Linked DNA regions of Saccharomyces cerevisiae S288C. The gene in region 2 interacts genetically with the main gene of each other region. Each region holds a gene or a part of one and is shown on either strand. Other genes may lie near its edges. The genes, in order: ELO3, FAT1 and PAU10.

What was found.
Region 1: mutations in FAT1 (region 2) and ELO3 together harm fitness more than expected from each alone (negative genetic interaction), as found in Saccharomyces cerevisiae (6 studies listed by BioGRID, with this or other methods).
Region 3: mutations in FAT1 (region 2) and PAU10 together harm fitness more than expected from each alone (negative genetic interaction), as found in Saccharomyces cerevisiae (2 studies listed by BioGRID).

Annotation. Positions count from the first base shown.
Region 1 is NC_001144.5:865,291-868,990, forward strand, and holds ELO3 (fatty acid elongase ELO3), read left to right. Parts: upstream 1-2,063; coding exon 2,064-3,101; downstream 3,102-3,700. Other genes in the region: Rho family guanine nucleotide exchange factor ROM2, read left to right, coding at 1-1,494; VID22 (Vid22p), read right to left, coding at 3,372-3,700.
Region 2 is NC_001134.8:316,153-319,914, forward strand, and holds the start of FAT1 (long-chain fatty acid transporter FAT1), read left to right. Parts: upstream 1-2,113; coding exon 2,114-3,762. Other genes in the region: ATP3 (F1F0 ATP synthase subunit gamma), read left to right, coding at 1-358; FIG1 (Fig1p), read left to right, coding at 816-1,712. UniProt on the Saccharomyces cerevisiae protein: Acyl-CoA synthetase required for both the import of long chain fatty acids (LCFAs) (C14-C18) and the activation very long chain fatty acids (VLCFAs) (C20-C26) by esterification of the fatty acids into metabolically active CoA-thioesters for subsequent degradation or incorporation into phospholipids.
Region 3 is NC_001136.10:1,521,144-1,524,168, forward strand, and holds PAU10 (seripauperin PAU10), read left to right. Parts: upstream 1-2,105; coding exon 2,106-2,468; downstream 2,469-3,025.

The DNA.
Region 1 (3,700 bases), on a different chromosome or scaffold from region 2:
AAACAAAAGATTCTTTTCAAAAACGAATACGTTAATTTAGGATTAAATGACGAAAGGAGAAAAATTAAACATGAAGGTATACTATCACGGAAGGAGTTGTCAAAATCGGACGGAACAGTTGTTGGTGACATACAATTTTATCTTCTAGATAATATGCTCTTATTTTTAAAGGCCAAAGCAGTTAATAAATGGCACCAGCATAAGGTATTCCAAAGGCCCATTCCATTGCCATTGTTATTTGCATGTCCAGGTGAAGATATGCCTGCGTTGAGGAAATATATTGGAGACCACCCAGATTGTTCAGGAACTGTAATTCAACCAGAATACAACACGAGTAATCCTAAAAACGCAATAACTTTCTTATACTACGGTGCCAAGCAGAGATATCAAGTTACATTATATGCTGCGCAATACGCTGGATTGCAAACGCTTTTGGAAAAAATAAAGCAAGGACAAGCAGCTATTATAAGCAAAACGGAGATGTTCAATGTAACGAAAATGAGCGATAGGTTCTTCGATTACACCAACAAAATTAACAGTGTTACTTCCTGTGATGGGGGTAGAAAACTTCTGATTGCAACGAACTCTGGATTGTATATGAGCAACATTAAAAGACAGCAGAATAAAGATCATAGACATAAAAGCTCTGCTTTTTTTTCAACTCCAATCCAACTAGTACAAAGAAATAATATCACTCAAATTGCTGTATTAGAAGAATTCAAATCAATCATACTTTTAATTGATAAAAAATTATACAGTTGTCCGCTGTCATTAATCGAAGCAGAAGGTAATGGGACATCTTTCTTCAAAAAGCATCACAAGGAACTGATCAATCATGTGAGTTTCTTCGCAGAAGGAGATTGCAATGGTAAGAGATTAATCGTGACTGCACACAGTTCATCGCATTCAATTAAGTACTTCGAGCATGAACATCCATTATTGGCCGAAAAAAATGGTAGTGGTAGCGGTAACAAAAAAAGTCTCAAGAAAAAAATCACCGAGGTTATTTTTGATTCTGAACCTGTCTCTATTTCATTTCTCAAGGCCAACCTATGCATTGGCTGTAAAAAGGGTTTTCAGATCGTTAGCATTTCACAGAATGCTCATGAATCCTTGTTAGATCCGGCCGATACATCATTAGAGTTTGCACTAAGGGATACTTTGAAACCAATGGCAATCTATCGTGTGGGAAATATGTTTTTGCTGTGTTACACAGAATTTGCCTTCTTTGTCAATAATCAGGGTTGGAGAAAGAAAGAATCGCATATTATTCATTGGGAGGGAGAGCCCCAAAAATTTGCAATTTGGTACCCGTACATCTTGGCATTCGACAGCAACTTCATTGAGATCAGAAAGATTGAAACTGGCGAATTAATTCGTTGCGTCCTTGCTGATAAGATTCGACTTCTACAAACAAGTACTCAAGAAATCCTGTACTGCTACGAGGATTATCGCGGGTATGATACAGTTGCGTCGTTAGATTTCTGGGGTTAAGATAGCAACGTATATAGACTTTCCTTATTTTCTTTAGAATAAAAAGCATAACTAAAGTTGTAAAAGGAGCAGAATTATGAATAATAAACATTGATGACAATAGTGGAAAACGACATAAATAATAATTTTATAATATAATAATGATAATTCACCGTCAGAGGGATTTGTATGCAAATGATTGATGACGCGAGAAAAAAAAACGCGAAATTTTTCTTCCCAAAGCTTCGAAGTTTTTATTCCGTCCACAAAGTGAAAAATTTTCAGAAAATTTTCCAGACTGTGAATAAACAAAAGGTTGGCTTACGCATTTGGCTTGTCTTTTTTTTTTTTCACAGGTTCTTAGTAAATAATTGTATAAAATATTTATCTGGAGTCTTCTGTTTGTTGTTTAGCCTTGTTTGAAGTTTTATTTAACTTATTACCCCAGTTAGGTACTGTGTATTTTCCGCATATCTGGTGTCTTTTTATTTGGTCATTGATTGGTTTTTGACAGCTCTTCACTCGCTTCAAGCTTACTTCTAGTTTATTTATTCGGCTTTTTTCCGTTTGTTTACGAAACATAAACAGTCATGAACACTACCACATCTACTGTTATAGCAGCAGTTGCCGACCAGTTCCAGTCTTTGAACTCTTCTTCTTCATGTTTCTTGAAGGTTCATGTTCCTTCCATTGAGAACCCATTCGGTATTGAATTATGGCCAATTTTCTCCAAAGTGTTTGAATACTTTAGTGGCTATCCAGCTGAGCAATTCGAGTTTATTCACAATAAGACTTTCTTGGCTAACGGGTATCATGCTGTTAGTATTATTATCGTTTATTACATTATTATCTTTGGTGGCCAAGCTATCTTACGCGCCTTGAACGCCTCTCCATTAAAGTTTAAATTGCTTTTCGAGATACACAACTTGTTTTTGACTTCTATTTCTCTAGTTTTATGGTTGCTGATGTTAGAACAGTTGGTTCCTATGGTTTATCACAACGGTCTATTCTGGTCTATCTGCTCTAAGGAAGCCTTCGCACCAAAATTAGTTACTCTTTACTATTTGAACTATTTGACCAAATTCGTAGAATTGATTGACACTGTGTTTTTAGTTTTGAGAAGAAAGAAGTTATTGTTTTTGCACACTTACCATCACGGTGCCACCGCTTTGTTGTGCTACACTCAATTAATTGGTCGTACTTCTGTTGAATGGGTAGTTATCCTACTAAACTTGGGTGTTCACGTTATCATGTACTGGTACTACTTCTTGAGTTCATGTGGTATTAGAGTTTGGTGGAAGCAATGGGTCACTAGATTCCAAATTATTCAATTTTTGATTGACTTGGTATTTGTTTACTTTGCTACCTATACATTCTATGCTCACAAATACTTGGACGGTATTTTACCAAACAAGGGTACTTGTTATGGTACTCAGGCTGCTGCTGCTTATGGGTATTTGATTCTAACATCTTATTTGCTTTTGTTTATTTCCTTCTACATCCAATCTTACAAGAAAGGTGGTAAAAAGACAGTCAAGAAGGAATCTGAAGTTTCCGGCTCCGTTGCATCCGGTTCTTCTACTGGTGTCAAGACCTCTAACACCAAGGTCTCTTCCAGGAAAGCTTAAATAGGAAGCGAGAATTTTTGACAGCGAATGAAAAAGAAAAAAATTAAATGTTAACATTTTCTTTATATTAAATATGTACGATAAATGAAATCATTATTATAGAAATGATAGATTATTGGCTTGGTGTTTTTCCCATTTTGATTAATCATTTCCTTAGCTGCCCAAAGAATTGCACGCTTACAGTGAGGAGTAGTGATACATTACAATTATAAAATAAAATTATATAGCAGCTAAAATTTAAAACAAACAGACTTTGTTCCTTTGTATGTCCTATGGAAGATACTGACTTGCAGTTTGTAAAGTGTCCAAGTCGTAATCCACTTTACTTGCCACGAATTGATCATTGAATAATTTAATTTTAATAATCTCTTGAGTTAAATCGGGATGTACTCTGGGAATGAAGTCATTTAAAAATGAGTACTCTCCCCTAATGGAGGAAGATGACTGACATTGCATTATCTTGAACAAAATTCTAATTATCGGCCCAGCATCATTATCTAAGTATTGGGACCAGAACGCGTTACACACAGGAACATGGATATCAAGTAACTCTTCAATGAAGTTCATTGGTTGTTCTAGCTCTCCAATAATAGAGTCCT
Region 2 (3,762 bases):
AAAGATTTCCATTTTCTACAATGACCCAGTGTCTTCCCTATCTTTTGAACCATCTGAAAAACCGATCTTTAACGCCAAGACCATTGAACAATCCCCATCATTCGGCAAATTTGAGATCGACACGGACGCAAACGTTCCAAGAGATTTGTTTGAATATACTTTGGCTAACCAAATGTTGACAGCAATGGCTCAAGGTTATGCTGCTGAAATTTCCGCCAGAAGAAACGCTATGGATAACGCTTCCAAGAATGCCGGTGATATGATCAATCGTTACTCTATCTTGTACAACAGAACAAGACAAGCTGTCATTACTAATGAACTGGTTGATATTATTACTGGTGCTTCCTCTTTGGGATGATAAAAAAATCACCCTGCATTGCCTCTTTATTTGACGTTGTTTTTGTAGAACATGAAACGAATTTTGACTTGATGAGACGAAGTATATATCCAAAGAATACCTTAAATAGAAAAGGAAAGATAATAAATACTAAACACTACTATATATTCAGGTAAAATACAAAAATTATAACATTTTTAAAACTTTTTTTTTTTGAAAGTCCTTCTCGCTTTAGGATTTTTTCCCATTAAGATTATGATGGTTTCATGTATGTGTCAGTTAAAAAAAATATGGCTAAGTAGCAATGAAACGAACCAAGAAAATGAAAACAATATATAGTGCTGTTGAAATAACAAAGACATTGGTATATATTTGTAAAATGTCTGTTAAATGTTTTTTATCTCAGGTTCTTGCTTGTCTTTGGTAGAAGAAATTATAGTAAACAAACAAACAAACAAACAAAAAAAAAAAAAAAAAAATGGTCGCAATCTCAATGATTTGGTTTTTTACCAAGCGTATGCCCAGAATATTTGCATTAGCTTTTAATTTAATTTCAATATTTCTTTTGATTTTTCTTCTCATCGGCTGTTACAACCCGTCAAATCAGTCAACATTTCTAGTGAAGTATAAATTTGATGACAACTCACCTTTTTATACGATCATAGAGAAATCATATGAAAAATCAAATACAACTCTGGGCTTGGAGGAAGTCATTATAAGATCCGGTTACATGGGTGTTTGTATTGATAACATTCCCTCCCAATATAGCTCTTACAATAATATGACTACATTCTCCAATTCAATTTGCTATGCAAGAAAGAATTTAAGCTCGGTTCCCTTATACAGAGACTTGGAAATTCAACTCTCAAATATTGCATCTTCCAGCTCCAAAACCCAATCAAGCGTTGTCTTGAACATTTTGAAGTTAGCCCAATTAACTTCGGTTAATGTTATACATCCATATGTCTTGATGGCAACTGTAATCCTAACAATCCTAATGTTTCTATTTATTCTGTATGTAACTGTCCCTAAGTTACCATTCAAACTAGCGGTTAATAAATTTCTACTGTTGCTAAGTTCAACTATAGTTTTGACATGGGGTATTGGTGCGATGTGGACTCATGTAGGGATAAATGCAAGTTACAGATTGGTTCCATCATCAAGTATGAATATAATCACTGTCAAGAAGGGCAAGAAGGCAGCAGTAATGGCTTGGTTTAGCTTTGCATTCCTCCTTTTAGACAGTGTGGTTTTATGGTTAATATTTTTAAGGGATAGGAAAAGCTTGAAAGATGAAATTGATAATGTTCCATGTGCCCAAAATAGGTACAATAACTACTCTTCGGATTCATCTACATTGCATTCCAAAGTTTAGTTTTATCCTCAAATAAACATATAAGTTTTGAGCGGATATTTCAGAATGTCAATTTTTAAAAGTAAAAGGAGAAAAAATTTATATAATTCACGATTAACATTATATAATGTGATGAACTACTTAAAAAATTTAACGTTCGATAATTAAGTAACAACAGAGAAAATATGAGCTTACCTAAACTCTAATCATTACCGTCTGTTTTATTTACTGTCACCTTGATGAGCGACTAAAAAGATAGAACGCGGGTTTTTCGCGCAATGTAACAAAGCTCCAGAAATTTTTTATAAATACTAATGTTATAGCAAAAAAAATAAGGACCTTAAAGTCGTAAACTAAATTGAAAAGCCCAAATCATTCAAATTCTATATCGTTGAACTTTTAATAGGCTGCGAATACCGACTATGTCTCCCATACAGGTTGTTGTCTTTGCCTTGTCAAGGATTTTCCTGCTATTATTCAGACTTATCAAGCTAATTATAACCCCTATCCAGAAATCACTGGGTTATCTATTTGGTAATTATTTTGATGAATTAGACCGTAAATATAGATACAAGGAGGATTGGTATATTATTCCTTACTTTTTGAAAAGCGTGTTTTGTTATATCATTGATGTGAGAAGACATAGGTTTCAAAACTGGTACTTATTTATTAAACAGGTCCAACAAAATGGTGACCATTTAGCGATTAGTTACACCCGTCCCATGGCCGAAAAGGGAGAATTTCAACTCGAAACCTTTACGTATATTGAAACTTATAACATAGTGTTGAGATTGTCTCATATTTTGCATTTTGATTATAACGTTCAGGCCGGTGACTACGTGGCAATCGATTGTACTAATAAACCTCTTTTCGTATTTTTATGGCTTTCTTTGTGGAACATTGGGGCTATTCCAGCTTTTTTAAACTATAATACTAAAGGCACTCCGCTGGTTCACTCCCTAAAGATTTCCAATATTACGCAGGTATTTATTGACCCTGATGCCAGTAATCCGATCAGAGAATCGGAAGAAGAAATCAAAAACGCACTTCCTGATGTTAAATTAAACTATCTTGAAGAACAAGACTTAATGCATGAACTTTTAAATTCGCAATCACCGGAATTCTTACAACAAGACAACGTTAGGACACCACTAGGCTTGACCGATTTTAAACCCTCTATGTTAATTTATACATCTGGAACCACTGGTTTGCCTAAATCCGCTATTATGTCTTGGAGAAAATCCTCCGTAGGTTGTCAAGTTTTTGGTCATGTTTTACATATGACTAATGAAAGCACTGTGTTCACAGCCATGCCATTGTTCCATTCAACTGCTGCCTTATTAGGTGCGTGCGCCATTCTATCTCACGGTGGTTGCCTTGCGTTATCGCATAAATTTTCTGCCAGTACATTTTGGAAGCAAGTTTATTTAACAGGAGCCACGCACATCCAATATGTCGGAGAAGTCTGTAGATACCTGTTACATACGCCAATTTCTAAGTATGAAAAGATGCATAAGGTGAAGGTTGCTTATGGTAACGGGCTGAGACCTGACATCTGGCAGGACTTCAGGAAGAGGTTCAACATAGAAGTTATTGGTGAATTCTATGCCGCAACTGAAGCTCCTTTTGCTACAACTACCTTCCAGAAAGGTGACTTTGGAATTGGCGCATGTAGGAACTATGGTACTATAATTCAATGGTTTTTGTCATTCCAACAAACATTGGTAAGGATGGACCCAAATGACGATTCCGTTATATATAGAAATTCCAAGGGTTTCTGCGAAGTGGCCCCTGTTGGCGAACCAGGAGAAATGTTAATGAGAATCTTTTTCCCTAAAAAACCAGAAACATCTTTTCAAGGTTATCTTGGTAATGCCAAGGAAACAAAGTCCAAAGTTGTGAGGGATGTCTTCAGACGTGGCGATGCTTGGTATAGATGTGGAGATTTATTAAAAGCGGACGAATATGGATTATGGTATTTCCTTGATAGAATGGGTGATACTTTCAGATGGAAATCTGAAAATGTTTCCACTACTGAAGTAGAAGATCAGTTGACGGCCAGTAACAAAGA
Region 3 (3,025 bases), on a different chromosome or scaffold from region 2:
ATCAAGAAAGAAGGAGGGCAAGAAAGTCTTTTGTGTGAATTTTTACAGTCCATTTATTGTAACTTAGAAATCAAATTGTGCGACTGGCCATTGTTGCTGTATTTAATAATGTCGTATAACACTCTAAGATTCCGTAATGATTCAAAAGCAGAAATTCGTTGGCTCTAGAGTCTTAAACAACTTACGCAACTACATATATTCATGATTCAAACAGAATGTACCTTTAAAGGTTAGAAATACGACCTCTAATCTGCTTTAAGCAGATGATGCAAGTGCCTTCATGTGGTTAATATATGTGCTATCGTATTAAAAAAAGTTTCCCTTCTCACGTGTCAATAAAGCATCACGAAAACATTCAATACTAGTGTTTTTCGCACAGAAACTTGCCAAATAGGCACCTTTATGCAGCACAATAATTAAAAATGCCCAACGTGACACATTCCAAGGTAATTTTGAAAAATCGTAAGCGCCATTCGTGAAACAGAATAGTGTTACACCCGTGAGAGTAATAGCGAAGTCAACTTAAGCAGATATTGCTACTTTAATCCGCTTATGCTGAATCCATATTCATCTTTTATCAGCTTTGGACGAGAAATTAGTTGTCTTTTAGGCAATGTTCGTGAGTAAGTTGGAGAAAAGATCTGTTTCAAAAGAGTCAACTTGAAGTAATGTCTCAAAAAAAAAAATGATAGTATTGCTTGCTCAAGTGCTAATTATATCTTTTCCTTGACAAAAGTACAAGTTATGCGTCTCCATCGGAAGTATTTTAAGTAGAAATATTAGGTACCAAAAGAAGTAAAAAATTAAAGCTATTCTTATTGGGTCACACTGACTTAAAAATTAAAGGAAAATATTTAATTGCATGTTATTTTGTTTAACTACTATCTTACTTCCACTGGTCCACCGGACCCTCAGGCTTCCTTGCCTTGTGGAACCAGTTTTTTTCTATCGAGAGGAAATTCTCCAGTCTAGTGATATTCCATATGAGAATGGAACACAGGTAAGCAAGGCAGTGGTGCTGATTAATGCGTTGAGAGTGCCAACAGAAAGAACAGAAGCTTGTTTGGGCAGGATATGTACAAGAATGAGGAATTTTTCTTTAACAGGGCTAATTTTGTAGTTTTCTTTTGAGCGATACTTAAATAGCATTTTAGATTCAGAAAAAATGCGTTGCCTAGTTATTGAGCATTAAACTGCGCCCATAAATTCAGGAGGCACTACCAACCCCTGCCACAGAATATTTACTAGGTATAAGTGTTTAACAGTTGCAAGAACCAAGCACATAGATGAAATTATTCAACAGAAGATTCAAAACGTAAAATAAAAAATATTAGCGCCATCCACTGGCCTCTGTACTCTTTTCTTTTCTTTCTTTTTTTTTTTTAACAAGAAAAATGGTACCCGGGTATCGAAGATGTTTCATTACACAAAACCTTGGCACATGATTCAATTCACCCTAACATCAATTAACTCTATTCGAGAAACATGTGCAGCTAACTGTAGCTACCTCGTTTATATATCGCATTCATTCTTGATTGTGGTATCTAATTTCGAATGCCTTAGTGATAGTGAACGGCATCGTAAGCTTCCACGGGTAGGTACGACTCTCAGTACATCATTGCTATTTCACTTCAGCTTGGGAAAAGAAACTGTAACATTATCCCGCGGCAATCGTTTAGAGCATACTAATATAGGCTAAGACAATAGCTTCCGAACGAGGGTCCTTGAAAAAGAAATATGACAGGCACGTAAAAGGGTTCTTCGAAGGCACATGGCGCCCCTATAACGTCGATCTTACATTGCACGCATACGAATACACATTGGCGCCGCAAAACATATCTTCATATACGAAGTTTGTGACGAATTCACGAATCGTTCAAGGACAGGTGCATTTCTATAGTTACGGTGGATAAGGTGTGTTAGATGAAATATGTAGGATCTTGAGGTGAGAAAAGAGTGTCAGTCAGTGGCTCGTTTGGGCAGCACCAGCTGGTGAAGGAATTTGTATAAATAGAGCAGACTTGACCGCCTGTCTTTGTGAATATGCAGTCATTTTTTTCTTCCTAGTAGGGCTTATATCAGCACTAAAAAACAAAACAAATACAATGGTCAAATTAACTTCAATCGCCGCTGGTGTCGCTGCCATCGCTGCTACTGCTTCCGCAACCACCACTCTAGCTCAATCTGACGAAAGAGTCAACTTGGTTGAATTGGGTGTCTACGTCTCTGATATCAGAGCTCACTTGGCCCAATACTACATGTTCCAAGCCGCCCACCCAACGGAAACCTACCCAGTTGAAGTTGCTGAAGCCGTTTTCAACTACGGTGACTTCACCACCATGTTGACTGGTATTGCCCCAGACCAAGTGACCAGAATGATCACCGGTGTTCCATGGTACTCCAGCAGATTAAAGCCAGCCATCTCCAGTGCTCTATCCAAGGTCGGTATCTACACTATCGCAAACTAGAGACAAACGCCAATTTTACGAACGGGTTTCCATAGACATTGAAAATGAACGAACAAAATAAAATAAATAAAAAACTACTTTTTTTTGATGATATAAATACCGTAGATTATATAAATGTATATTAATATTATAAACCTATTTGATCAATGACAGTGTTCGTGAAGCATTTTATGAATACGATGAACATAAGAAAGAAACTTTTACACTATTGTAGAAAAAGCGTGGACGGTAATAAAGCTAACAGAGTATTTCCAATAAACAATAATGAAATTGGAAACGTATGACTTCGCAGCACTTTGTCTTTCCATAAAAATGTGTCGCTGCTTCTTTTTTCATTTTTTGGCGCGTCGCGTCGGGCCGTATAGAATATGCGTCACTTCTAAGAACAAGACTGCAGATCAGGGCAGTGCGAGTTACAAGTCATGGTACCAAACTCTCATTTGGAGATCCTCATTTTTTGACACCTAAAATATTAAGATTTATGGTTTGGGATAGTTTTTTGTAACTGTAACTAGAAATAAAGCTGAGGGGTTAGTGTTCTACCAAAACTAAGATAG